Linked DNA regions of Arabidopsis thaliana. The protein of the gene in region 1 interacts with the protein of each later gene in a biochemical or structural test. Each region holds a gene or a part of one and is shown on either strand. Other genes may lie near its edges.

Region 1 (8,761 bases):
TTTTTAGAAATAAATATTTTTACTGTCAAAATTAACTTTTACAGTTAAAAACCTTTAAGTACTGTAGTTATCAATTTTTTTGTGTATATTTTATTAGGGTAAATCATAGACTAAATATATTTGATTAGGTTTGACTCTTTTTCCATAATGAAAACAAAATAAGAGTTAGTGGCCAATAAGAAAAGAAAAAATCACTTTAGTCAATCAATTTAGTTTCATTTTCTTTTCCAATTAGTTAACCGACTGATTTTCAAATCTTACTTTTTAATTGTTTATGCTAGTCACAATTTAAATGTGGAAACGATGTTAGTTGATTCGCAAAAACAGTTATCAATATCATTGTTAGTTAGTTCATCGGAATATACGTAAATTCGTTGAGTTTTGCCATTTAACGCTTTCTATTTGCTCCCTCCTTTTGTTGTTTTGTAGTATGTACCATATCATAATTCTATGACATAATAGATGACTACCAAATTTTCTCTGCCAGCTTGCTTGTTATGAAATGAAGGAGGAAACAAATGTGAATAGTATCGGATTTGGGAGTTTTACAGAAAACAATTGAATGTTTCAAAGCCATTTTTACCAAACCCGAAGCTGAGATACACGTGACCAACACTGCTCACACACTCTTTTGACCTTTGAGCTTAATCATGGACCACCAATCTTCTCTTTTTTCCAAGTCCACTTAATTTCATTTGCTGACCTCATCTCCATTCTCATTTCCTCCTCCCAAAATATCACAAATCCTTTTGTAACTTGTTATGTCTTTCACTTTAAACACAGAGATCCAAGGAACGCCTCTTTTAATAATCCCTAGATGAGATATAATGTTACTAATACTATAATGGCAAAAATATCACCTTTACTATCACAAAGCATGGAACATTAGAACATAGGAAAAAGGATTTTGATTAGCTTAATCTGTTCTGACTTCGTATAAGATTTTCCACAGATACAAATATTGTTGATCCCTTGCTAACATGTTTCATCTTGAAACTTTGATTCTCTGAGACTCAAGAGTCAAGATTCGTCTTCGCAGGCCTCTGCGGCTGAAATCTCTGAATCAAGTTTGCTCATCAGAGTCTCTGTCACATGCTTGGCAACAGAGATCATGTCAAGGATGACGCTTGGGTCTAAGCCAGACCCGCTTCGTTTGGTTAACCCACATATATGGCCTGTCCGATTCACAGATATAGATACAGCTGAGCTCATCTGAGACTCCTCTTCTGCTGTTGCATCAACTATGTAATGCGTTCCCACCTGCAAAAACCAAGGACAGCATGGTAAAAGATTAGCGAAATGTACATAAGAAGATGTCGATGTGAATCAAGAAAAGTGAGATTCGATTACTTTTGTTAACGTGACTATGACCGGGACACTGGAAGTGTCAAATTGAAGATATTCCTCGTCGCTGATGTCAATCTCTGGTTGCTCATCATCTGCTACTTCAGCTGAAACATTGACTTTTGGGATGGCCGTGTTGGTTAAAGCAGCCTGCAGGAGTATAGTCAACAAGTGCATTAAAGCATGTGATCAGCCTTGAGGAAAGATGACTTTTGGGTTGCTTAAACTATCAATTGGAAACATATCGTAAAGCTACTAAAACCAATAACAAGACAACTACATTGAGCTAATCTATATACACTTAACTAAAGACCCATTCCCTTTCGTTTCCTATATTCTCTGGCCTTTCCTTTCTCATGATTCTGATTGATGGGTATGATTTACTCACTAACATTCGTAACTAAAACCTGAGACTAAGGGTTAAGAGAGAAAACCAAACACACATCACAAGAATTACCTTAATGGCAGCACCCAGGGCATCCAATAGATTCCCATCCGAACTAATGACAAGACCATCAATATAAAGGTCCCAGCAAACTTTTCCTTCTTTGATTAAAAGCGAAGATAAATTTATTCCAGCTCCTGGTACCAAAACATGAATTGCTATAAACGTTACAAACAGAAAGCGTAACAGTGTGCAGGTAAAAAAAAGCATTGCATAAACATGATTGCAGACCTGCTCCACTTTTGCCACCCAGAAGACATCTTTGAAGAGCCAAAGCAAGCTCAGAAGACAATTCCTCACCTCCTCTCCCCTAAGTAACAACATATCACAAAGAATTAGCCGCCTAAAGACTTAACACAGTAGAATTTAGGAGATTCTGAAGAAAAGTAATGATAACCAAAATCTCATGTTGAACAATTCCACTAGTAAGAGAAACACCAATAGAACGATAGAACGGGTGTGACAAGTGCTAGATAGAACCAAAACCAAACGAAATAAAAGAAAAGCTCACCCCAAATGTCGGTTCAGCTGTTGGACTGCAATCAATGAAAACTGCAACCTTTCCTTTATCGGGTTGAAGTGAACTTGGCCTCCCAATTTCAGCCTGCAATTACACAAGATTACTGGGTAACATCTACAATAGCACTTCCCATTCAACAATAGAACAGTAGCAGAGAGAACAAAGGAAGTACCTTTACACTAGCAATCACATCGGTTCCACCAATTCTAACTCTCGCTGAACCATTAGCCTAGAGCCAACAAAAACAAGAGAAAGAACATATCTGTTAAACAACTGGGAAGCAACAATGAGAAGCGGACGAGCTCTAGGAGATTACACTACCTGCGGAATAACACCGGTTTCGACGTAGATAGGACGGTAAGTCAATCTTTTCCGACCATCAGTTCGAAGATCTTGAGCAATCCCACCTTTAATGAAATGTTGTTCCCCAAGAGAAAGCCCCATCACTAATACTACACAGAGAACGAATTAGATCAACTGCTGAGGAATTTCTACCGGAATGACAAACTTCAAGGTTCACGGATTGGTGCTAGGGTTTAAGAGACAGCTCAAACAAAGTACACATCTTTATACAGCACAATCAAAACCCACTAATCTTCTTTACCTTCCCGGAGAATTCAATAGAAGACACAACTCTGAAGTTTTCCGGTGACCCTAGCGGCAACTTTGGATTGGTTAGGTTAAGAGAGAGACGTGACCACTGACAACTGCCGTAGGGTTTAAAGATGGCGTGAACATAATTATTGACACTTGTTAAGGGTAATTTAGTCATTTACCGACTTACCATTTTTTCACTGCTTTTTAGCGTTTTCTCGCTCTTCTGGTTTTTTCTTCAATCTGCCGGGAAGAAGTGCGAGCTTGGTGCCGATGGGTCGTTCGAAACTAGCTTCTCGTCCTGCTGAGGAAGACCTGAATCCAGGGTTCGTTTAAAGTTTCGTTCTTTGTCCATCTTAGCTCGAAGTCTTCTAGGGTTTTCTCTGTTCAATTACTTACTTGTCTTTGCGAAAACATTTCAATATCTGGTAATCCACTTAGCTGTGTTTGATTATCTGAATCGGAGTTCTTTTGGTACTTGTGGGTGGCTCTTGATTTCATACTGCTGTCGTCTCTTGTCTTTATCCTAATTTTGATGATTTTGGCTGTTTCAGAAAATCAAAAAGGAAAAAGATATCATTGGGTCCTGAGAATGCTGCGGCATCAATTTCCACCGGTAGGTTTCCGTTTACTTGTGCAATTAGGTGTGATACTGATAGGACTAAAGTTTCTGCTGTGGATAGATATGCATTGATGTATCATGTACCAAGCTGCGTTTTCCAAAAGTTCTTACATGTACCAATACATTGTAGGAATTGAAGCTGGGAATGAGAGGAAACCTGGCCTTTACTGTTGTAACTATTGCGATAAAGATCTGTCTGGTTTGGTTCGTTTCAAATGTGCTGTTTGTATGGACTTTGATCTTTGTGTGGAATGCTTTTCTGTCGGCGTTGAACTTAATCGTCACAAGAACAGTCACCCATATCGTGTTATGGTTAGTTTCCAACGCCGAGCAGTATATTTGAATTCAATTCAACGCTTTGTCAGCTGAAAAGTAATTAGATTAGTGATTGTGTTTAAAACAAAGAAAATGTTCTATGGTTGTATTTTTGTTTGTATTGAATCTACCCTTTTGTTTGACAGGACAATTTGTCTTTTTCGCTTGTTACTTCTGATTGGAATGCCGATGAAGAGATACTCCTTCTTGAGGTAATCATTAATCGTTTCTGATTGTACACTCCCATGTCTATATAGAGATTCCATCTGACTATTGGGAAGTAAATTGACTGTGTTAGGCCATTGCGACATACGGGTTTGGCAATTGGAAAGAAGTTGCAGACCATGTTGGTAGTAAGACAACGACAGAATGTATTAAACACTTCAATTCTGCTTACATGCAGTCACCATGCTTTCCACTTCCGGTAAGGACTGATGAAAACACATGATCGTCAGATAGTTGAACCTAGCTTGTTTATTTACTCTAGCTCCCCGCTCTGTAGGACTTGTCCCATACTATTGGAAAGAGCAAAGATGAGCTGCTTGCTATGAGTAAAGATAGTGCAGTCAAAACAGGTCAGCTTTAAAATCTATTAGCGGGGTTTCTTGTTGATTTGGGACTCGTATATTAACCTTGACTGAAAAAAGGAGGATGCTGAGCTCTGTTTACTATTTGTCACAGAAATACCTGCATTTGTGAGGCTATCTCCAAAAGAAGAGTTACCTGTGTCAGCTGAAATCAAGTATATACTTATGCTTGTAACAATAGTTTACCTACGTTTACAATGTTGAATGCACCTTTTTAAAAGTACTATTATGTTTCCATGGGCAGACACGAAGCTTCAGGGAAGGTCAATGAAATAGATCCACCTTTGTCTGCCTTAGCTGGAGGTATGTGAAAATGCTTTTATCTATATAAAATTGTAGACATTATTTGCACTTAGATTTATGGCTAAGGACGCAAATCATCCGCATTTCGTACTACGACCCCAAATATTATCTCTTCCATGATTCCATATGTAAAGTAATACTTTTTATTGTACAGTCAAGAAGAAAGGCAATGTACCGCAGGCTAAGGACATCATCAAGTTGGAAGGTTTGTTATATACTGGAACAAGTTTTTATGCAAAGTGATATTTACGCGAACAAAAACTAAAGGTAGTTAACGGCCCTTGTGTCTTAGCTGCAAAACAACAATCTGACAGGAGTGTCGGGGAGAAGAAACTCAGACTTCCTGGAGAGAAAGTTCCATTAGTAACAGAGTTATATGGTTACAATCTAAAGAGGGAAGAATTTGAGATCGAACATGACAACGATGCTGAGCAACTGCTTGCTGACATGGAATTTAAGGATTCTGACACAGATGCTGAGCGTGAGCAGAAACTGCAGGTTCTTCGTATTTACTCGAAAAGGTACACTTATCACAGGAACAACCATTTTTAAACCGGAGAATTTTTTCATAAGCCAATGCTACAAGCCAAGATTGTGCCTTTGTTGGCAGGCTTGATGAGAGGAAGCGGAGGAAGGAATTTGTTCTGGAAAGAAACTTGTTGTACCCTGATCAATATGAGATGAGCCTTTCAGCAGAGGAGAGAAAAATATATAAAAGCTGTAAAGTGTTTGCGCGGTTCCAATCCAAAGAAGAGCACAAGGAACTGATTAAGAAAGTCATTGAAGAGCACCAAATTCTCAGAAGAATCGAGGATCTTCAGGTTTGATGCTTAAAATTTTACCAAGCTTGAGTACTGGATTACAAACTCAATTAGGTGGGAACATTAAGTTGAGCTTTTAATAAATGTTGCAGGAAGCTAGAACTGCTGGTTGCAGGACAACTTCAGACGCAAATAGATTTATAGAAGAGAAGAGAAAGAAGGAAGCTGAAGAAAGTATGCTGCTGCGGCTTAACCACGGTGCACCAGGCAGTATAGCCGGTAAAACACTAAAAAGTCCAAGAGGGTTACCCAGAAATTTGCATCCCTTTGGTTCTGACTCACTGCCAAAGGTCACACCTCCAAGAATATACAGCGGTTTGGACACTTGGGATGTTGATGGTCTCCTTGGAGCTGACTTACTCTCAGAGACCGTAAGAACAATAATTTTCAAACTTGATGTTTGTCATCTTATTTGTGATTTTGTTGATTTGTTGACATTATTCCTATGGTTTGAGAGATTGAAGCTGTTTTTTGTGCAGGAAAAGAAGATGTGCAATGAGACCAGAATACTGCCTGTACACTATTTGAAGATGTTGGATATCTTAACAAGAGAAATAAAGAAGGGGCAGATAAAGAAAAAGTCTGATGCTTATAGCTTCTTCAAAGTAGAGCCGAGTAAAGTAGACAGAGTATATGATATGCTGGTTCATAAGGGAATAGGTGACTCAACATGACTCATAGCTTCATGGTCCTAACATGTACTTCTCGAACATATATTAGCCATGTAAATATAAAGGAAGGTGATGCTGATTTTGGTTACACATCTTGTTCTCTGTTAGTTTCGACAACTTGACAATGTCTGATTGTTATGACCTTCAAAGGCTGTTTCAGATTTTTTGATACAACGTTTAAACTGAATATTGTAATGCCTTCACTCATCTGATTCCTTCAATTTTTGTTATATGAGATCAGAAAGTCTTGAGACATTGCATCAGTTTTCAGGAAAAACCTAAATAAAACCAGATTCTTTGGTTACAAGAAACTACACTGGATCAGATTGCCATCCAACAACAAAGAAAAAAAAAAAAACAGACAGAAATCCAAAAACTTAATCTACATGAAGCCAAAAGCTTTACCATTTCTAAGGTTGCCAACTTTGAGTCTTCTCCCAAGGCTTGAAAACACCATCATGAGAAACATATTTCAAGTAAAAGAAAAAGCCACGCAGCAACTTCAAAGCTCTTGCCTTATCAACACCAACCACAAGCTTGTATTCTTTTTCGAAATCAGGGAAACTTTCTAGATAAGATTGTCCCAGTTCGTCAGTCTCATAATCAGATCCTCTTCCCTTTCGTAGTTCTCTGCATCGAGTCATTTTTTTATGGATTGATACGTAACGATGGAGCTGCTTCATCTCTCCTTCATCATATGGATTTTTCAAAACATCCATTAGCTCCTTTCTAAACCAACTGCTACTACTTTCATTCTCTTTGCTTCCTTCATCAAGATCAACCACTTTCTTGGACGCCACAAACGGTGTACACTCCTCTCCATCCAAAAAAGGGGAATCACCCATCGCAATTATATAATCAGACCAATCATCATGTGGTTCAACCTTCACTTCTACTAGTGGATCCAATTCAGGTACCATTGTCGATTCTTTTAGAGTATCCATATCATCTTTCTGAAGATTTTCCATTGGCTCAGTTGTCGAATCGCTAAGAGAATCTACAAGCCATGTGAGGTACCTCATGTAATCCTTATCCACAACCGCTTCACTCCCCTCATTCTTCTTCCTTCTCCCTACAAAAACTTCTTTGCTCCTTGAAGAAGTCTCATCTACATCATTAACCTCTGTAACTCTATGTACTCGCTCTACGTGATCAATCTCCACAGCAACCCTCTTGTCTTCTTCAGTTCTAACCAATGGAACATCTTTTATTAAAGCATCGTCACATTTCCTCTTTCTTCGTTCAGCAACTCTGTTGTCTCTTTGAATGTCTTCTTGAGTTTTAACCAATGGAACATCATCTCTTCTTAAAGTCTCAGCCTTTGACTCGGAAAGTTTCCTAACTTTGTTGTCTCGTTGTTGAATGTCTTCTTGTTGGGTTTCGAGTGAAGGAACGTCTCTTGAAGTCTTTGCAGCTTCTAACTCTGCGATCCTCCGCTTTCTTCGTTCAGCAACTCTGTTGTCTCTTTGAATGATTTCTCGGATTTTAACTCTTTCAACCTCAACTCCAACAGTTTTCCTCTTGCTCTGTTGATTAACTCTGTTCTTCACTGGATTCTCATTCCCAAGCTTAGATCTCTTTGAATCACAAGAAAAGATCTTTAATCTACGAATGTCAGATGCTCCATTGTCAACTTCAAGGCGAGTGCTTGAACTTTTCTTATCACCTCTTCGAAGATGATCCAAGAAGACGTTGTACTCCTTATCAACCATAAGATCATCATCATCATCATCTTCGTCAAGACAGATAATTGGAACATCGATTTTTTCAGACATTTCATTCACCATAAACCTTGTATATCCATCATCAATCACAATGGCTTTCTTCTTCATCGCAATCAACACTCTATTAAATTGATTAAAAATAGAAAAAATTAGGAAATAATTATGGAAGTAAAAACCCTAAAACGATCAATCCGTTGTCGCTGAAACCATAATGCAGGAAAAAAAAAACTATGAAAGCTAGAAAGATAAAACATAGAAGGAGCAAAAAAAGGACGCAGAATCGAGCATACCGTTTAGAGCGACTCTGCTTGTGAACACTAAACTGAGCAAATTATTCTCCTAAAATAAGAAACGGAAAGAAGAAGAAATTAATGATATAACGTAAATATTAGGGTTTAAATGCAGATCAAATTTTGCTATAATAATTAAGGAAATTTCTGAGAGAAGCAGAATATGAAGAGACGTGAGATAACACTTAAGGAGGCTATACGCCAAAGCTATAAACCAATTATTGTTATCAGACAAAATAGTTAAAGAGACCTAAGGAAAATCCACGTCATATATTTCATATTTTCTCACCATATTAAGAGTTTTTTTTTCCTTTTTCGCCAACCTTAAGAGTTAGAAATAAGGAAATATCGCATAACTAAATAAAAGTTAAAAATAACATAATAACCCGATATACGAAATAATAACATAATTGTATTTTATGATTTGTGGGAGTGTGGGAAACAAGAGCATGCATTGGGTTACTTGTTCAGTGAGTATTAAATATAGGTTGGTGTGTGTCGTGTGAGTAGCAAACTGCAACATCT
Region 2 (9,568 bases), about 18 Mb from region 1:
GGTCTCCCTCCAATTACCTTGAAGCGTTATGCAATAAGTGTAAATGTCTGCTTTCGAATGGTTTTAGCAGTCCATGAGGCTAATCGACCCAACCCAACTCATAGACTATAGAGTTACATCATTTCCGTTGCATGTCTCTTGTGACACAAAGAACTAAACAAGATAAGAGAGAATTAGAGAAGCTATAAAACATAAAATCACTACATGTCACATTTATCATTTACTATGTTGAATATTTTTACCGTTCAATTTAAAGAAATCCAACAATATGCTTAAAATAATTTTTTTGATTAATGTTTCCAAATTCTATATGTTCTTTTAATCATATGGTAATTGATTATTTTCGACCATTCTGATAAAGTTTGGAGTACACTGTATTTTTTTTTAAAAATAGAAGAAATGTATATATAAATTAACTAAGAATATATTAAGTTTTATTGTTTTAATAAAGTAGTTTCATTGCTGCATGCACTCTGCCATTTACATAAAATGCAAGCCTTGTAATTTACTTTTCTTCATTAATTGTTTAAGATTTGTTTTCAATTTTAATTTTGTTAAGAAAACAAATCTTAATACGTTTTTTTATTTTGCTGGCTCTGAGGCAACAAACTTTTTTTACAATTACTTCTTTGTCATCCCCACTTAATCTGGCCTTACCGTTTTTATTTGGCTTCCCGGGTTATGCATAAGAAGATGTCAAGTAGGTGAGAGGTTGGTGTGCGTAGGGAATTTGCAATTAACACGTGTTTATTTTAACTCTCTTCAATTTTAAATGGTGAGAGTAGACGTAGCAAACTAGTCTAATCGCGAACTAAACCACTTTATATTTTTTGAACGAAATAGAAATTGTTGTAGTTTTCTATAAATTATTTTTTAATAATCTCCAAATAGAGCAACGTATCCACTTATATATATAACCTTATCTCTTTTTTTATTGGAGAAAAAAAAAGTACACTGTGATAATTTGAACTCATATATATACACACTAGTTGTGTGTGCTTGTCTTAAGAAAAAACAATGGGATCAATGGCTCAGAAATCGGTTTTGATGTTATGCGGAGAGTTCATGGAAGCCTACGAGACTATAGTACCTCTCTACGTCCTCCAAGCGTTTGGTGTTAGCGTCCACTGCGTTTCTCCTGGTCGCAAAACTGGCGACAAGTGCGTCATGGCCGCTCACGATCTCCTTGGCCTCGAGGCATTTCTCGAATCTTTCACTTTTTCTTCATTTCAGTTTTTTTCCCTTGCAATCGTTCTTTGCATATTTAGTAAAACAATGCGATCAAATGCTCATAATTGGGTGGACTTTCCCCTTTATTATCTTTATCCAAAAAGTTTAGATAATTGGGTGGTCTCAACCCAAAATGCATGGGCCTACTCTTAACAGTAAAAAAGAAGAGTTTCAATTTGACTTTTACCTTTTTACAGATATACACCGAACTGGTGGTTGACCATCTAACACTAAACGCTAACTTCGATGGCGTCATCCCCGACCAATACGACGCCATCATCATTCCCGGTGGACGTTTCACGGAACTTTTGAGCGCCGACGAGAAATGCGTGAGTCTTGTTGCTAGATTCGCCGAACTCAAGAAGCTCATCTTCACGAGCTGCCACAGCCAGCTGTTTCTTGCGGCGGCAGGTCTGCTCACCGGTGGAATGAAGTGCACGGCGTTCGAAAGCATGAAACCGTTTATCGAGCTCTCCGGCGGCGCATGGTGGCAACAGCCTGGAGTCCAGACCCTTTTCGAAATCACTGATTGTGTCAAGGACGGCAGTTTCATGTCCACTATGGGGTGGCCAACGCTTGGCCATAGTCTCAAAGTTTTGTTAGAATCACTTGGCTCCAAGATTTCTAGCTCTAAAGAGAATCATCAGACTTCTTTGCTTTTCTTGATTGGGGTAAGTAGCTTATTTTCATAAGACTCTCTTTTAGACTTTATATATTGGAATTAAAAAAATGGTCTGACTAATACGTAATTTTGGTATATTTAGGATTGTGTTGAAGATTATAGTATCAACGTACCATTTAAAGCGTTTCAAGCTTTGGGATGTAAAGTGGATGCAGTGACGCCAACCAAGAAGAGAGGTGAGAAATGCGCTACAATCGTACACGACCTTGAAGACGGACGGCAACTTCCTACTGAGAAGTTTGGTCACAACTTCTATGTGACCGTTGCGTGGGATGATGTCTCTGTGGATGATTACGACTGCATTGTGGTTCCCGGAGGAAGATCTCCGGAGCTCTTGGTGATGAACCCCAAGGCCGTCGAATTGGTCAGAAAGTTTGTTGAGAAAGGCAAGTTTGTTGCTGCCATTGGAATGGGAAATTGGCTACTTGCCGCCACAGGCGCCCTTAAGGTAATATACACCGTTTTACAAAAATTCGTTTTACTATTCTAAAGACTTAAAAGTTAAAACTGAAGCCGAACCAAACCATATTTTAATTTAAACGAAACAAAAATGTCAAGATAAGTTGCTCTAAGCACATAGGAATCTCCTATGGTTATGGTTATGACTAATATTATTCCAGCATATTGTTGAAGGTTAGTAAGATATAATTCATCACATTTATGGCACCACTTCCTTAGCATAGATTATAATTTTTGCCAGCTTGTTATAACTCATCTAATTCCCATTGTGGCATGCTATATTATTACATTGCAGAAGAAGAGATGTGCAAGTAGTTATGGGACAAAGGTGGCTGTGAAGGTTGCTGGTGGTGAGATCGTGGAATCTGAACGGTGCGTGACCGACGACAAGCTGGTCACAGCCGCATCAACTTCCGATCTTCCTGCCTTTTTGTATGCATTGTCGACTGCACTTGGTCTCTCTGTTGTATTCTAATGTCAAGTGGTGCTTTAACGTCTAATGCCTAAAAAAATAAAAACATATCTTTGTATGTCGAAATATAAGGTCGTCCCTCTAATTATTTATGTACAAGCTTGGATTTGCATATATATATGGGAAGAAGAGTTGCCACACTTGCTTACACCTCTTCTAATTGTGTTTTTTTATAAGAAATTACCACTATCAAGTTGTCATTCTCCTCGTTTTACATTTGGTAAACAAGCTCTATTGACCATTTATGTTGTAACACTACTTCAAGACTAAAGTTGATTAGAGATAGCAAAATCTGTCACCAGCAAATTGTGTTTCCTTGTTAAATACTAGTAACAGATTCCAAACACATTAAATTTTGTGAAGTTAAATTTAACAACATACTATAAAATAAAACAACACATAAACGGATTAAAGACGTTAATGTTCATCCAAAAAGTATACTGAACTTTTAAATAATTTACCGACGAATTGTACTGTTTATATCCGACCAATATAGTTAATCACATTTTAATCACTGCATAAATTTACTCATAGGAATTACAATTACCGAATTAGTTTCGGTTTAAAATTTGTTGGATCAATAAAACAAAAAAAAAAAAACGATGCCAGAATATTCCGTTCGTCGGCGTAGTCTTTCCCGCCCCCAAATTATCTGAGCAAAAACCCTAGACTCTCGATTTCGTCACGATTTTCTCAATCACCTTCACTATACTGCTTCGATGGACTCTCACTCTTCCCACCTCAACGCCGCCAATCGTTCCCGCAGTTCTCAGACTCCTTCTCCTTCTCATTCCGCCTCCGCCTCCGTCACTTCTTCTCTCCACAAACGCAAACTCGCCGCCACCACGGCAGCGAATGCAGCCGCTTCTGAAGATCACGCCCCTCCTTCTTCCTCTTTCCCTCCTTCCTCCTTCTCTGCCGATACTCGCGACGGCGCTTTAACCTCCAACGATGAACTCGAGAGCATCTCCGCTCGCGGCGCCGATACAGATTCAGATCCTGATGAATCAGAGGATATAGTCGTGGATGATGACGAGGACGAATTTGCTCCTGAACAGGACCAGGACTCTTCTATCCGCACATTCACCGCCGCTCGACTCGATTCCAGCTCTGGAGTCAACGGTTCGAGTCGCAACACTAAACTTAAGACGGAAAGCTCCACGGTGAAGCTTGAGAGCTCTGATGGTGGAAAAGATGGTGGATCATCTGTGGTTGGGACTGGTGTGAGTGGCACTGTTGGAGGAAGCTCAATCTCAGGGCTCGTGCCAAAGGATGAGTCTGTTAAGGTATTGGCTGAGAATTTCCAGACTAGCGGAGCTTACATTGCCAGAGAAGAGGCTTTGAAAAGAGAGGTAGCTTATCACTGGATCTATGCTAATGAATTACTAGATGAGTTCAGAGAATCGCCATTGACAAATTTGGTGATATCTTTCATTTAGGAGCAAGCAGGACGACTCAAATTTGTTTGTTACTCAAATGATTCCATTGATGAGCATATGATGTGGTAATGCCTTCCATCATTTGTCTCCTGCCATTGAATTTAGCTTCTAATCAGCTATGCATTCTTCGTTCTAACCTCGTTTTTTATGAATAATTTGTTGAATGTATTCCAGCTTGATTGGGTTGAAGAACATTTTTGCAAGACAGTTACCTAATATGCCCAAGGAGTACATTGTTCGTCTTCTGATGGATAGGTAAACATGCTAAACTAAAGTGAAACATTGACAATTTTTGTAACAAACAATCGCAAATGGTAAGCATTCTAATATCTGTAACTTATGTTATTTGCCCAGGAAACATAAGTCTGTTATGGTACTAAGAGGGAATCTAGTTGTAGGTGGTATCACGTATCGTCCATATCACAGGTAAGGTTTTCGCATAACTCTTCCCATCTTTTGACCCAGTGATGATTTTCTCCACCATATGTATGTGAATACGCTTATACAGCTTTTTGCTGTTTAGAGAGTAGCATGTTGACTTGTTATCTTATATTATCATCAAACACAGCTTACTTTTCCTATAGAATATTTCTGAAACTGTCTGATGTCATAATGAGCATGAATACAGTCTTGACATGCTTATTAACTCCATTGTTTCCCTGGGATTCAGTCAGAAGTTTGGGGAAATAGCATTTTGTGCAATCACAGCAGATGAACAAGTAAAAGGTTACGGTACCAGATTGATGAACCACTTGAAACAACATGCACGTGATGTTGATGGATTGACGCATTTTCTTACTTATGCTGACAACAATGCTGTTGGTTACTTCGTCAAGCAGGTTGGTGTTTCGTATATTGTGCAATTTTTTGCTCTATTTTTAATCTCTCAACAAACTTCGACCAACTGTAGTACATTCCAGAAAAGTAGTTGAACTGTGTTTTGGATGTAATGTTTTCTATTGGTTAATAGGAGATACCTCAGAGTTTCACTTCTAAAAGTTCTGTTTCCACACTTAGCTATCAAGTCTACTTTCTGGATTCTAACTGTAATTTTTATATTCTTACAGTCGTCCACTAAGTTGATCTGTTACGTCTATTATCTTGTGCAGGGTTTTACTAAAGAGATTTACTTGGAGAAAGATGTATGGCATGGGTATGGAAACTATGTATCTCTTAAGTTCAAACTGCTCATTTACCATTCTTAACTTCTGTGCTTTATCTGTATGATGTCTAACTTAAATATTTGTTGGCCCAATTAAGCTCACAAACCTTAGAATACAAGCATTTTATTGCGTGGCTGATTATGCTACGAGAGAGCTATTTAAAACTTGTCTTTATCATTCTCTTCTTCATCTTGAAACTTACTTTTGCAAATAAAAACCTTTGAAATTTTCTTAGGTTCATTAAAGACTATGATGGTGGTCTCCTTATGGAATGCAAAATTGATCCAAAGCTGCCATATACGGATTTGTCAAGCATGATACGCCAGCAAAGAAAGGTAAGCCTTTGAAAATACCTTTTATGTGGTGAAAAAATATCTCGAGCCTTCAGGTTCATCTATACCCAAATAGTTCTTCAGGTTACGAAGCTATTTGTTTACTTTCTTTACTTTCACTATTTAACTCTAGCATTATGGCTGATTCTGAAAAAAATTAAAAACATAAGAAATACAAACTTGAGGATTCGATTATTGAAAGTTCCTCTCTTCTCTCTCTCGAGGAATTAATTAATGGAAATTCCTGTCTTCCCCTATGAGCCCAAAAATCAAGCTGCCCTCCCAAAAGCTATCTGCTTTCAAGAGAGCATAGCAACGTAACACTAAACGAGTAACCATTGTTACATTTCTGTCTAATTATACGTATCAGTTTCTGATCCGGTTGTACTTTTATAATATCAGGCAATTGATGAAAGGATAAGAGAGTTATCAAACTGTCAGAATGTGTATCCAAAAATTGAGTTTCTAAAGGTAAACATCAATGGTTTCATGTCTTGTGGCTATTATTGTATACAATGTTTCCAGTAGTAATAATAAATGAGATGATTTTTGCAGAATGAAGCTGGAATTCCTAGAAAGATTATCAAAGTTGAGGAAATACGTGGCTTAAGTAAGTTATGATTCTACTTGATGGTGTTATTGCAGTTTCTTACCCAAAATATAGACATATCTCCCTTTAAAATGTTCTAGTCATCTCAAAATTAAGATTGTGCTAGTCGCTCCATGAGATCAAGTTGATATGCATGTTTGAGATTCTCCTGCATTTGTTAGCTGTGGGCTAAGGGTTTATCTGTAATACATGAATTGGCTAATTCATGAATTATGGTATACTGTTGCAGGGGAAGCTGGTTGGACCCCAGATCAGTGGGGGCACACTCGTTTCAAATTATTCAATGGTTCTGCTGATATGGTGACAAATCAAAAACAGTTGAATGCACTCATGCGTGCGCTTTTAAAGGTTGTGATAAATCTTTTTTGTTTTGTTATTAATTATTATGTCCTCTTACATATTATGTTATTGCAATTACATGCCCTTTAATTTGACAAGCTGTAGTTAATTGCTACAGACAATGCAAGACCATGCTGATGCTTGGCCTTTCAAAGAACCAGTGGATTCTCGCGATGTCCCTGATTACTATGACATCATTAAGGATCCCATTGGTAAGAAGATATAGTTAAAATATCAATTTCGCTATTAATTATCCAGAATTTGTCCTCTTTTTAAGTAGAAGTGTTAAATCACTTTGGTAACCAAAAAATGGTTTGAACACAGATCTGAAGGTAATTGCAAAGAGGGTAGAGTCGGAACAGTATTACGTGACATTGGATATGTTTGTTGCGGATGCGAGACGGATGTTTAACAATTGTAGAACTTACAACTCCCCCGATACCATTTATTACAAATGTGCAACCAGGTAAGACGTTTTTTTCTTTCATTTCATTTCTTCTCTTCTTATTCAGTAATGAAATAGTGCATTTACTTTGTTTTTCTTTCTCTTAAAAGGTTGGAAACACACTTCCATAGCAAAGTACAAGCAGGTCTCCAATCTGGTGCTAAATCTCAATAGAAGAAGATGGTAGAGGTTATATTAATATCATTTTCTAGATCTTTCATTTTAAGATACTTTCATTGGAACTGGGAATACATGTATACTATTTTAGGCCCATGTATACTGGAGCTTAATTGTTTGTATGTTTTTTTTTCGGATAGGTAAATATTTGATTTAGTTAGATTCAGAATGTTTAAGTTTTTACTTTGTAGGTTAAATTTGTTCTATAAAGCTTATTTCCAACTGTAAAGACACATTTCATTTTACTAAATGTTTCTGATGAAAATCACATAACCAAATTTTGATATCGAACGGGATCACCAGTTTCGGTGGTTTTGATCGGATCAACAATGGTGAAGAGAATGAGCGTCATGGGTCATTTGTGTTTACACGCTTACACTCACGCTTACGCTGCACAGATTTCTTTAATCTGATGAATGTGAGTTGTTGTTGCTCAACATTTCGTTAAAACGGTTACGTTTGCCATAAGTAACTATTGATACATTTGTGTTTATACGCTTACGCTGCTGCACATGTTTACGTGATTACGTCTACGACCATTTCAACTTCGATTTGCCTTAGAAGCACGATAGCTTATACATTCTTCCATCATGTCCAATCATATATATAATATTAAGAGTTTACCGTCGCTGAGTCATACAGTAAATAAAAATACAGACAATAGTTACCTCAATCAAAATCACAAAACCAATGACTCTTTTTCTGGTTAATGCTTGTGATTCCAATGGGGTAGGGTTTCATACAGATTAGAATCAGGAGCAAATGGATTCTGCATGCCTTCACGGTTCACCTGTTCCGGCAAGAAATTTGCCGTCTCCACTCTCTGATTTTGTGCTAAACCAGCACTGGTGTTGGTACTTGAATTTGCTGGTTTCAAAATGTGGTTAGAGTTTGGCGGAATACTAGAGGAAGCACTCGGTGTGTTGCTGAATGGTATGCCCATGTTTGGTCTTGACCAATGCAAAGGGTTCACTCCTGTCACTCTTTTCACAGTTTCCTCTGCCATCTTAACCTGCACAGGTTTTTTATCAATGCAATTAACTTAGTTATTAAATCATAATCTTGGGTGTTTTAAATTCTTAACACTCGTGAGTCACAAGAGTACCTTTGTTCTCAAAGTTTCGATATCAGCTCTTAGAATTCTGTTGTCAACAGCAGCTGCATCATACTTATGATTCATGTCACTAAGACGATTAATTAAAGTTGAATGCTCGGCTCTTAATTGGCCTACCTACAATTGGTAAAAACTTTACCTATAAACCCCTGAAGACTGTTGAAAAGTAAGAAAGACTCGAGAAATGTATAAATGTATGAGCAACTAATAAAAGACCGAACCTGTGTATCAAATTCATTCATTTGTTCTTGCTTTCTTCTCCTAGAGCGCCTAGCGGATTCTCGGTTTGAGAGCATCCTGGGTAATTACAAAAAAAAAAAAATGAATCAGGATGACCTTCGAAAAAGTTAAATATATAGAGCCTGACTGTTTCCTAAGAACAACAGTCACAACATAAAATTGACTGAAACATTCCTCTACTAGATTTCAGTTCTTTCTTTCTCTTTAGAGAGAGTAGAAAGTAGAAACTATTAGGTACAAGCCTTTTCCCAAAAGCATGTCTATATCTATCAGCCTCGAGATTCAGAACGATTACCAGAAACATTCTAAGGTACAAAAATCAAGATTTGTACCTCCTAGCACGCTTCACATCAGTAGGATCTCCATTATCTGCGTCTCCATCAAGATCATCGTCATCAGAATCATCTCGTGATGAAATACTAGTTTGTCTGGCTGGAACATCAGGTTTCTTTTGCGTGCTTGTTGTGGGAGAAAATCTAACAGATGAAGCACCAGGTGAGGTTTGTGCCACAATGGAGCCTAGATAATTTCAAAATAATCCCATTATCCACTAACTGAAAAACATTTCATCCAGGTACATATCACAAGAAGCGGGAAATAAGAAAGCTATCTAGTATAATGCACTAACTTACACTAATAAGAATGGAGAGTCAAAAGGCTAAGAATTCTCATCTAAACGCATAATACTACGTATGCCTTGTTTCTTTCTTCTCAGAGAAAAAATTGACTCGACTAGAACAGAATTAAATATGAATGAACACAGAGAAAGCTGTCATCTCCAAAACAAAGCCTACTTATCTTCAAATTCCCTTAAAGTCTTGAGTTTACTGAGAGAGATTAGCAGTTAATTAATTGTCTAATCAAAT
Region 3 (6,726 bases), on another chromosome or scaffold:
CACAGATGAAACGTGAGTCTAAGAAAGGAAAGTGATTAGATACTAAAATGGACAGAACAAACCTGTTATTTGAAGCATCCAATGCTCTGGTGGCATCCTCTTGTGCCTCGTACTGGATAAATGCAAAATTCCTCCTGATCCTAACGTTTACGATCTTTCCATACGGCTCAAAGTGTTTCTCTAGATCCCGGGTCCTAGTATTATCCGCATCAAAGTTAATCACAAAGAGAGTCTTGGAAGGTCTCATGCTGGATGAGGATCTCCTTGAACCACCACCAGATCTTTTATCACCTCCACGTTCACTCTATATACACAGAACCATTTATGTTATCAGTATTTCAAACCTCATAACTAAGTCTGGAAAGAAATAAATCCTGGGGTAAGTATCCTACCTTTGTCCATTCAACACGAAGTCTGCGTCCCTTACGCCCAAATTCAAAGCGGTCAAGTGCTCGGATGGCATCTTCCGCATCCCTTTCATCTTCCATGTATACAAAAGCAAACCCTGGAGAAAAAAGAAAAAGCCAAAAGCAAAGATCTGAGTACATTAACAGTGAGGAAGTGGACCAGATTAAGAACCTTCAACATACACGAACACTGTCCTCCCTCCTTCAACGCCTAACTTAACTCCTAGAACATATTAAATTTTGAACATTCCTAGAACCTTAAAAAAACTCCAAATGACCAGTGAAGCAGTTACAGACCTTGCATTATGGAATTAATATGTCAAGGAACAACTGAAAATGTGGAAGTCAGACGGGGATATGAATGAAAATAGAGAGCCTTCTCCATTGCAGAGGCATGTCCAAGTGTGCAAAGTGATGAGGAATGAAATGCAATTAAGATGGCAGTGCTAATGCGGATGGAAAGTGACTGATTTTGAGGGATAAGAGATGGATTTCCCTATGGTCCATTCATGGCCAGGTGTGAGTATAGGCGTCCCAAGATTATCAAACACATCCTGCGTCAAAGAAAATGCGGTTTTACACTAATTTTTTTTCTAAAAATCTTATTCCTCTGAAGTACTTTCCAAAGTTCAAGCAGGCTGCATCAGGTGGCCAGGTGAATGTGGTCAATGTTTAGTACTCCTTCCAAAGGGAGATAGTCCACCAGAGCCTTCTCGTGGATGGAATGAAGACGAGAGTGGATTTCATGAAATGCATTTGAATTTCGCTTTTTCATTGTACTTAGTGGATAACAATACTGCTTATTATAATTCATTCAGGTTAACCACAAAGACAGAGTAGTAAGAGGCAGAAGAAAGAAAGAAAGAAAAAAAAGGCTCACCAGCTTTCATATCAACCCTCTCAACCTTGCCGTATTTCCTGAATAGTCGTTCCAGGTCACCTTCGCGCGCATCATACTCAAAGTTCCCACAGAAGACTGGCTTCATGCTTCCTGTATAGACAACCACAATAGTAAAAAAGATTCATGAGACTTCCTTAAATGATAATTTAAACACGAATATCACAACTAATTTGTCACCAAGATGAAAACTTTTAACACTAAAAACTAGAGCCCTCACACTAAATCGAATTGTTTTGCAGTAAATTAGGACTTGAAACTCATCTATTCGAGCTCCAAATCAGTTAAATCTAGGAACTGAACTAGACAGTATTAGAATCAAAAGTACAATGCAACAGATCTAATCTAACTACAGTTAGATCTGAATATCATTCACAAGATAGAGAAAACGAGAACAATCCACGAAAGCATGAATCTTTCATACCAGAAAAACAAAGAAGGCTCTGATGAGATTCAACTTATAAAAAACGAGATGGACCAATTCTCTTGTTCTACTTTTCACCAACCAAAAAAAAAAGAAGGAAGAAGGAGATGAGAACCACGACGATATAGAGAGTGAATAAACTGCATCAATTTACCTGTAGAATGATTTTGGCAGGCGTAGTCGCGTGGAAGCCCTAGAAGAAGAAGAAGCTCGCGTCGAGAGATAGGTGAAACTGAAAACAGAGTTAGGTACGATTTAGATAAAGAAGGCAAGAGAGATCATTTGGATTTTTATTTTATTTTCTTTTCTTTTTAGTTTCAAAGATATTTTTTTCAGAACACATTTTGACTTTCTTATTTTGTCTGAAGGACGAGAAGTCGAGAACGTCTACTTTTTAGGAGTATTGGGCCTATATGTTAAACAAATTATAAGAAGCCCAACAAGTAAACAAAATTGAAGCTGCTTTCTAAAAAAACAAAACAATAACAGATTATGAAGACAAACAAATATTAGATTTTTTAATTTTGATTAGAATATACTGATTAATAGAACTAGAACATGTATCACATAACATCTACACAATGAATAATGCATACAAGTTTTTAAAAAGTCTTGCAACTTAACACTCTCAAGATCCCACATGTCAAGTTTTGGATTCGATGAAACATATGAGTTTGTTAGTAAGTTTAATAATTGTTGTTATAAAGAAATGTGTATATTTATATATTACAATTAATTAAATAAATTGTTTTCCTCTTCATTGGATTGCTTCACTTATGTTAAGAGTTTAGTAGTTGCTTTCAAGGCCGAATGATATGTGGCCACGAACATATCATCACACGTGGAATGAGAACGAGTTTCGACTTTTCAAATATGCCATAAAGCCTCAATTATCTTCTTATCTCGCTTGAATATGCAACAAAAAGCTATTAAGATATTCATAAAATAGAGGCGTCTCAAATCTACCAACAAAAAGCTACAAAAGATCCAGTCCAATCCACTGAAGAATCCCAAAACAGAGTAGAAACCCAAACAACCCGATTCAGCAAATAATTCAAAAACGAACGTCCGTACGATTTTCCAAAAACAGAAAGATGGGTTCCACAAGATAATGCGTGGGGACGTCAAAATCCTCTAAACCCGTGGTTCGGCCGCGGAAACACTGTCCCTACCTTCCCCACCAGCCTTCACTGGCCCCATACGTCACTCTCAAGCTTTACTTTCTATTTTCCACTAAAGCCAATTTTGTTGTTTTCTTCACCTTACCACTCTTTTTTTCCCTCTTTGTTGTGTCTTCTTTTCTCCTAAATGTCAATAACGTGAGAGCGAGAGGTAACGAGAGAGATATTTTTGTCAGCGAATATATTTCATGCATATCTTATTGTGAAGATTTTTTATACCTTTTTTTTGTCAATACAATATAGCTATTATTGAGATTGAGATATTTTGTGGGAATTATTGGGATTCAAGATAACTTGCTATTTTGTATTGGTCTAATCCTTCGCTTAGTCCTGTCCTGGTCCATTTACATGTTTTTGGTTATAGTTTGTTTAAACTGAATAATTTTGTTCATCATATGCATTTATGACTCATTTTTAACCGTCCATCGAAATTGATAATTATCCATTACCAAATCTGATTAATTTTTTTAAAAAATCAAGCTTTTCTATATTGTAGTATTATTTTTGGTTAAATATTAGGACATCTACTTCCAATACAAATACTACATGAGTATTTAAAATATCATTTCACAGAGATATTTATGTCTATTATGTTATAGACGGGTGACAATTAATGACAATTTGTTTATTCATAGGAATTTAAAAACGATTGTAACAACAGCAGCCAGCCAACCACACAGGCACACACTCGATAGAATTTAAAGAACTCATAAAGGTTAACGAGTGAAGAGTCAAAAGTCTCTTTACAAGGGTCAAAGGACACACGTCAGACAGCGAGTGGAACATCGTGGGATTGCTTCGCTATGTACTATACACGTGTCATTCACAGAGACAAAAACTCCGTGTGCTCCCCACATATCCGTTATCTCTCCTCCGGCCAATATAAACACCAATTCTCACTCTCACTTTTTATACTAACTACACACTTGAAAAAGAATCTACCTGAAAAGAAAAAAAAGAGAGAGAGATATAAATAGCTTTACCAAGACAGATATACTATCTTTTATTAATCCAAAAAGACTGAGAACTCTAGTAACTACGTACTACTTAAACCTTATCCAGTTTCTTGAAACAGAGTACTCTGATCAATGAACTCATTTTCAGCTTTTTCTGAAATGTTTGGCTCCGATTACGAGCCTCAAGGCGGAGATTATTGTCCGACGTTGGCCACGAGTTGTCCGAAGAAACCGGCGGGCCGTAAGAAGTTTCGTGAGACTCGTCACCCAATTTACAGAGGAGTTCGTCAAAGAAACTCCGGTAAGTGGGTTTCTGAAGTGAGAGAGCCAAACAAGAAAACCAGGATTTGGCTCGGGACTTTCCAAACCGCTGAGATGGCAGCTCGTGCTCACGACGTCGCTGCATTAGCCCTCCGTGGCCGATCAGCATGTCTCAACTTCGCTGACTCGGCTTGGCGGCTACGAATCCCGGAGTCAACATGCGCCAAGGATATCCAAAAAGCGGCTGCTGAAGCGGCGTTGGCTTTTCAAGATGAGACGTGTGATACGACGACCACGAATCATGGCCTGGACATGGAGGAGACGATGGTGGAAGCTATTTATACACCGGAACAGAGCGAAGGTGCGTTTTATATGGATGAGGAGACAATGTTTGGGATGCCGACTTTGTTGGATAATATGGCTGAAGGCATGCTTTTACCGCCGCCGTCTGTTCAATGGAATCATAATTATGACGGCGAAGGAGATGGTGACGTGTCGCTTTGGAGTTACTAATATTCGATAGTCGTTTCCATTTTTGTACTATAGTTTGAAAATATTCTAGTTCCTTTTTTTAGAATGGTTCCTTCATTTTATTTTATTTTATTGTTGTAGAAACGAGTGGAAAATAATTCAATACAAAACAAATCGTTTTCTACTTCTTTGCTTCACATAAGTTAAAAGTCAAATATTTAACAAAAAAGATATTAAAAGTCATATTGTAGTTGCTTTCAAGGCAAAATATGTGGACAGATCATTACACGTGGATGATGTTTGTAAATATGCCACAAAACCTGCATTACATTATTTTATTCTATCTCATGTAAGTTACAGATCTTACAATTTAGCAACAGAAAGCCACAAAATATTACATAAATTGGCTCGTCTCGAATCTAGCAACCAAAAAAATTCAGCCCAGTTCACTATAAAGAATATAAAAAAAAGTTTCCTAAAATAGTGTATAAAACCGAAACAAACTAATTCAACAAACCCGAAATAAACAAATCCGTACGACAACCAAAAATATCTTTCAGATGGGTTCCACAAGATAACCCAGTGCCAATCAGAATTCTGAAAGCGTGGCTCGACCGCGGAAACCATTGTCCATACCTTCTCTTCTTTGTCCCCCCTTACGTGGCTCGCTGTGGAGTCTCGTACCACGTGTCGCGTCACTTCACTCTTTACTTTCTATTTTCCACTAAAATCATAATTTGTCTTTTTCTTGACCATACCCACTCTTTTTTCTTCTCGTTGTCGTCTTGCTTCTCCTAAATATCTCAAATAACGTGAGAGACTTGAGTGTGAGAGGTAGGTAACGAGGCAGACTTTTTTTGGAAGCGAATATAACTTATGCTGATATTTTATTTAGCTTTCTGATTGGAGTTGAGATATTATATAGGTATTATTGAGATATTATATACGTATTATTGAGATTTGAGATATTTTGTAGATTTTATAGTTCTATCGGACTAATTCTTGGCTTAATCCACTAACATGTTTTTGTTTAGTTAATTAAACTGATTATTTTCTGCGCTATAGTTTTGTTAAACACCTTTTAGACGTAACAAAGCAATTACGCTTGATCATCCATCGTAGACTCTTTTTCTTTTTTTACATCTCATAGAAGTTTTGTTTAAACACAGCAGGAAGTAAATTATTTTCTTATTACGTACGTATGATTGTTTTTAGACTATTTTAGTACTTTGAGAAGTAAAATTGGGGATACGAGATAAAAGACAATTGATTAACATGCTTTTTATTTTGACTTCCGAAACTAATCATGGTTGTCTATGTTTATAAATTGTGTTCTTTTTGTTGAAAAACTCAGATAATGATTAAATCAGTAGCGAATGGATGGAGAACACATGATTTTAGATTGCATACCGTAAAACAAAAAAAATCATGATGGATGTAGAACATTCAAATGGGTCAAATAAATACGTATGTGATCAAAAGAAAGTATGTGATCAAAAGGGTTAGCACGAGTACCTTGGGAGGAAATTCTTCTAATTATGAATTATGCAAGAATTTTCGTCAAGGGAAGGTGGGGAAGAGGTAGCTAAAGAATAGAGAATCATATGACTAAGGACGTGGTGGTTGAAGGAAATGAGAGAATACATGAAGAAGAGAAACTTCTTTGAGTGAGAAGGAAGTGCGCTGGCTGGAGAGAAAAGAGAGAAAAGAGTTTCGAGTGAGAGAGAGGGCGTTGAGATTGTGATCAACTTAATGTAATATGTTCTTTTATTACATTTTCTTTTTGTCATATACTCAAACCTTTTACTATTTTGTCTCATAAATCTAACACACCCCACCATTTGTTAATGCATGATGGTAGAAAATATTAAATATAATTAACTACTTTTATGTGATCAAAATTAGGTTTCAGACTCGTTTCGCGATCCGATCTACAATTACAACTGCATGCTTCTAATTGATCTAAATTCTAAATTTTTTATACATATTAAAAAAACAACTTTTTGTTAAATTCTCAATCATCATTTTTGTGATTAACAATTTTTTATAACTCTAAACCAATAATATTTGATTATTTATTTTATATGTATAATGATGATTGAGAATTTTAATTAGCAGTCTATTTAGG

The links.
Region 2: the proteins of ADA2A (region 1) and HAG1 form a complex in vitro, tested with the Arabidopsis thaliana proteins (2 studies listed by BioGRID, with this or other methods).
Region 3: the proteins of ADA2A (region 1) and CBF1 form a complex in vitro, tested with the Arabidopsis thaliana proteins (one study listed by BioGRID).

The regions. Positions count from the first base shown.
Region 1 is NC_003074.8:2,467,478-2,476,238, reverse strand, and holds ADA2A (ADA2 2A), read left to right. Parts: upstream 1-3,143; 5' UTR 3,144-3,176; coding exon 3,177-3,229; exon of another isoform or gene 3,230-3,331; intron 3,332-3,457; coding exon 3,458-3,519; intron 3,520-3,602; exon of another isoform or gene 3,603-3,603; coding exon of another isoform or gene 3,604-3,655; coding exon 3,656-3,858; intron 3,859-3,986; coding exon 3,987-4,052; intron 4,053-4,138; coding exon 4,139-4,264; intron 4,265-4,342; coding exon 4,343-4,415; intron 4,416-4,521; coding exon 4,522-4,582; intron 4,583-4,671; coding exon 4,672-4,730; intron 4,731-4,884; coding exon 4,885-4,935; intron 4,936-5,022; coding exon 5,023-5,251; intron 5,252-5,340; coding exon 5,341-5,551; intron 5,552-5,643; coding exon 5,644-5,922; intron 5,923-6,030; coding exon 6,031-6,225; 3' UTR 6,226-6,408; downstream 6,409-8,761. Other genes in the region: AT3G07750 (3'-5'-exoribonuclease family protein), read right to left, coding at 1,021-1,260, 1,351-1,494, 1,802-1,926, 2,021-2,099, 2,301-2,393, 2,482-2,538, 2,631-2,753; AT3G07730 (uncharacterized protein), read right to left, coding at 6,633-8,054. UniProt on the Arabidopsis thaliana protein: Required for the function of some acidic activation domains, which activate transcription from a distant site. The exact mechanism of action is not yet known.
Region 2 is NC_003074.8:20,210,031-20,219,598, forward strand, and holds HAG1 (histone acetyltransferase of the GNAT family 1), read left to right. Parts: upstream 1-3,375; 5' UTR 3,376-3,562; coding exon 3,563-4,195; intron 4,196-4,282; coding exon 4,283-4,347; intron 4,348-4,456; coding exon 4,457-4,537; intron 4,538-4,636; coding exon 4,637-4,708; intron 4,709-4,952; coding exon 4,953-5,121; intron 5,122-5,391; coding exon 5,392-5,435; intron 5,436-5,680; coding exon 5,681-5,780; intron 5,781-6,179; coding exon 6,180-6,248; intron 6,249-6,332; coding exon 6,333-6,387; intron 6,388-6,616; coding exon 6,617-6,735; intron 6,736-6,844; coding exon 6,845-6,938; intron 6,939-7,050; coding exon 7,051-7,192; intron 7,193-7,281; coding exon 7,282-7,345; 3' UTR 7,346-7,623; downstream 7,624-9,568. Other genes in the region: DJ1F (Class I glutamine amidotransferase-like superfamily protein), read left to right, coding at 1,018-1,197, 1,428-1,901, 1,995-2,360, 2,667-2,846; BZIP25 (basic leucine zipper 25), read right to left, coding at 8,055-8,360, 8,454-8,579, 8,684-8,759, 9,035-9,221.
Region 3 is NC_003075.7:13,019,835-13,026,560, reverse strand, and holds CBF1 (C-repeat/DRE binding factor 1), read left to right. Parts: upstream 1-3,564; 5' UTR 3,565-3,998; coding exon 3,999-4,640; 3' UTR 4,641-4,781; downstream 4,782-6,726. Other genes in the region: RS40 (arginine/serine-rich splicing factor 35), read right to left, coding at 63-304, 393-505, 1,288-1,393. UniProt on the Arabidopsis thaliana protein: Transcriptional activator that binds specifically to the DNA sequence 5'-[AG]CCGAC-3'. Binding to the C-repeat/DRE element mediates cold-inducible transcription. CBF/DREB1 factors play a key role in freezing tolerance and cold acclimation.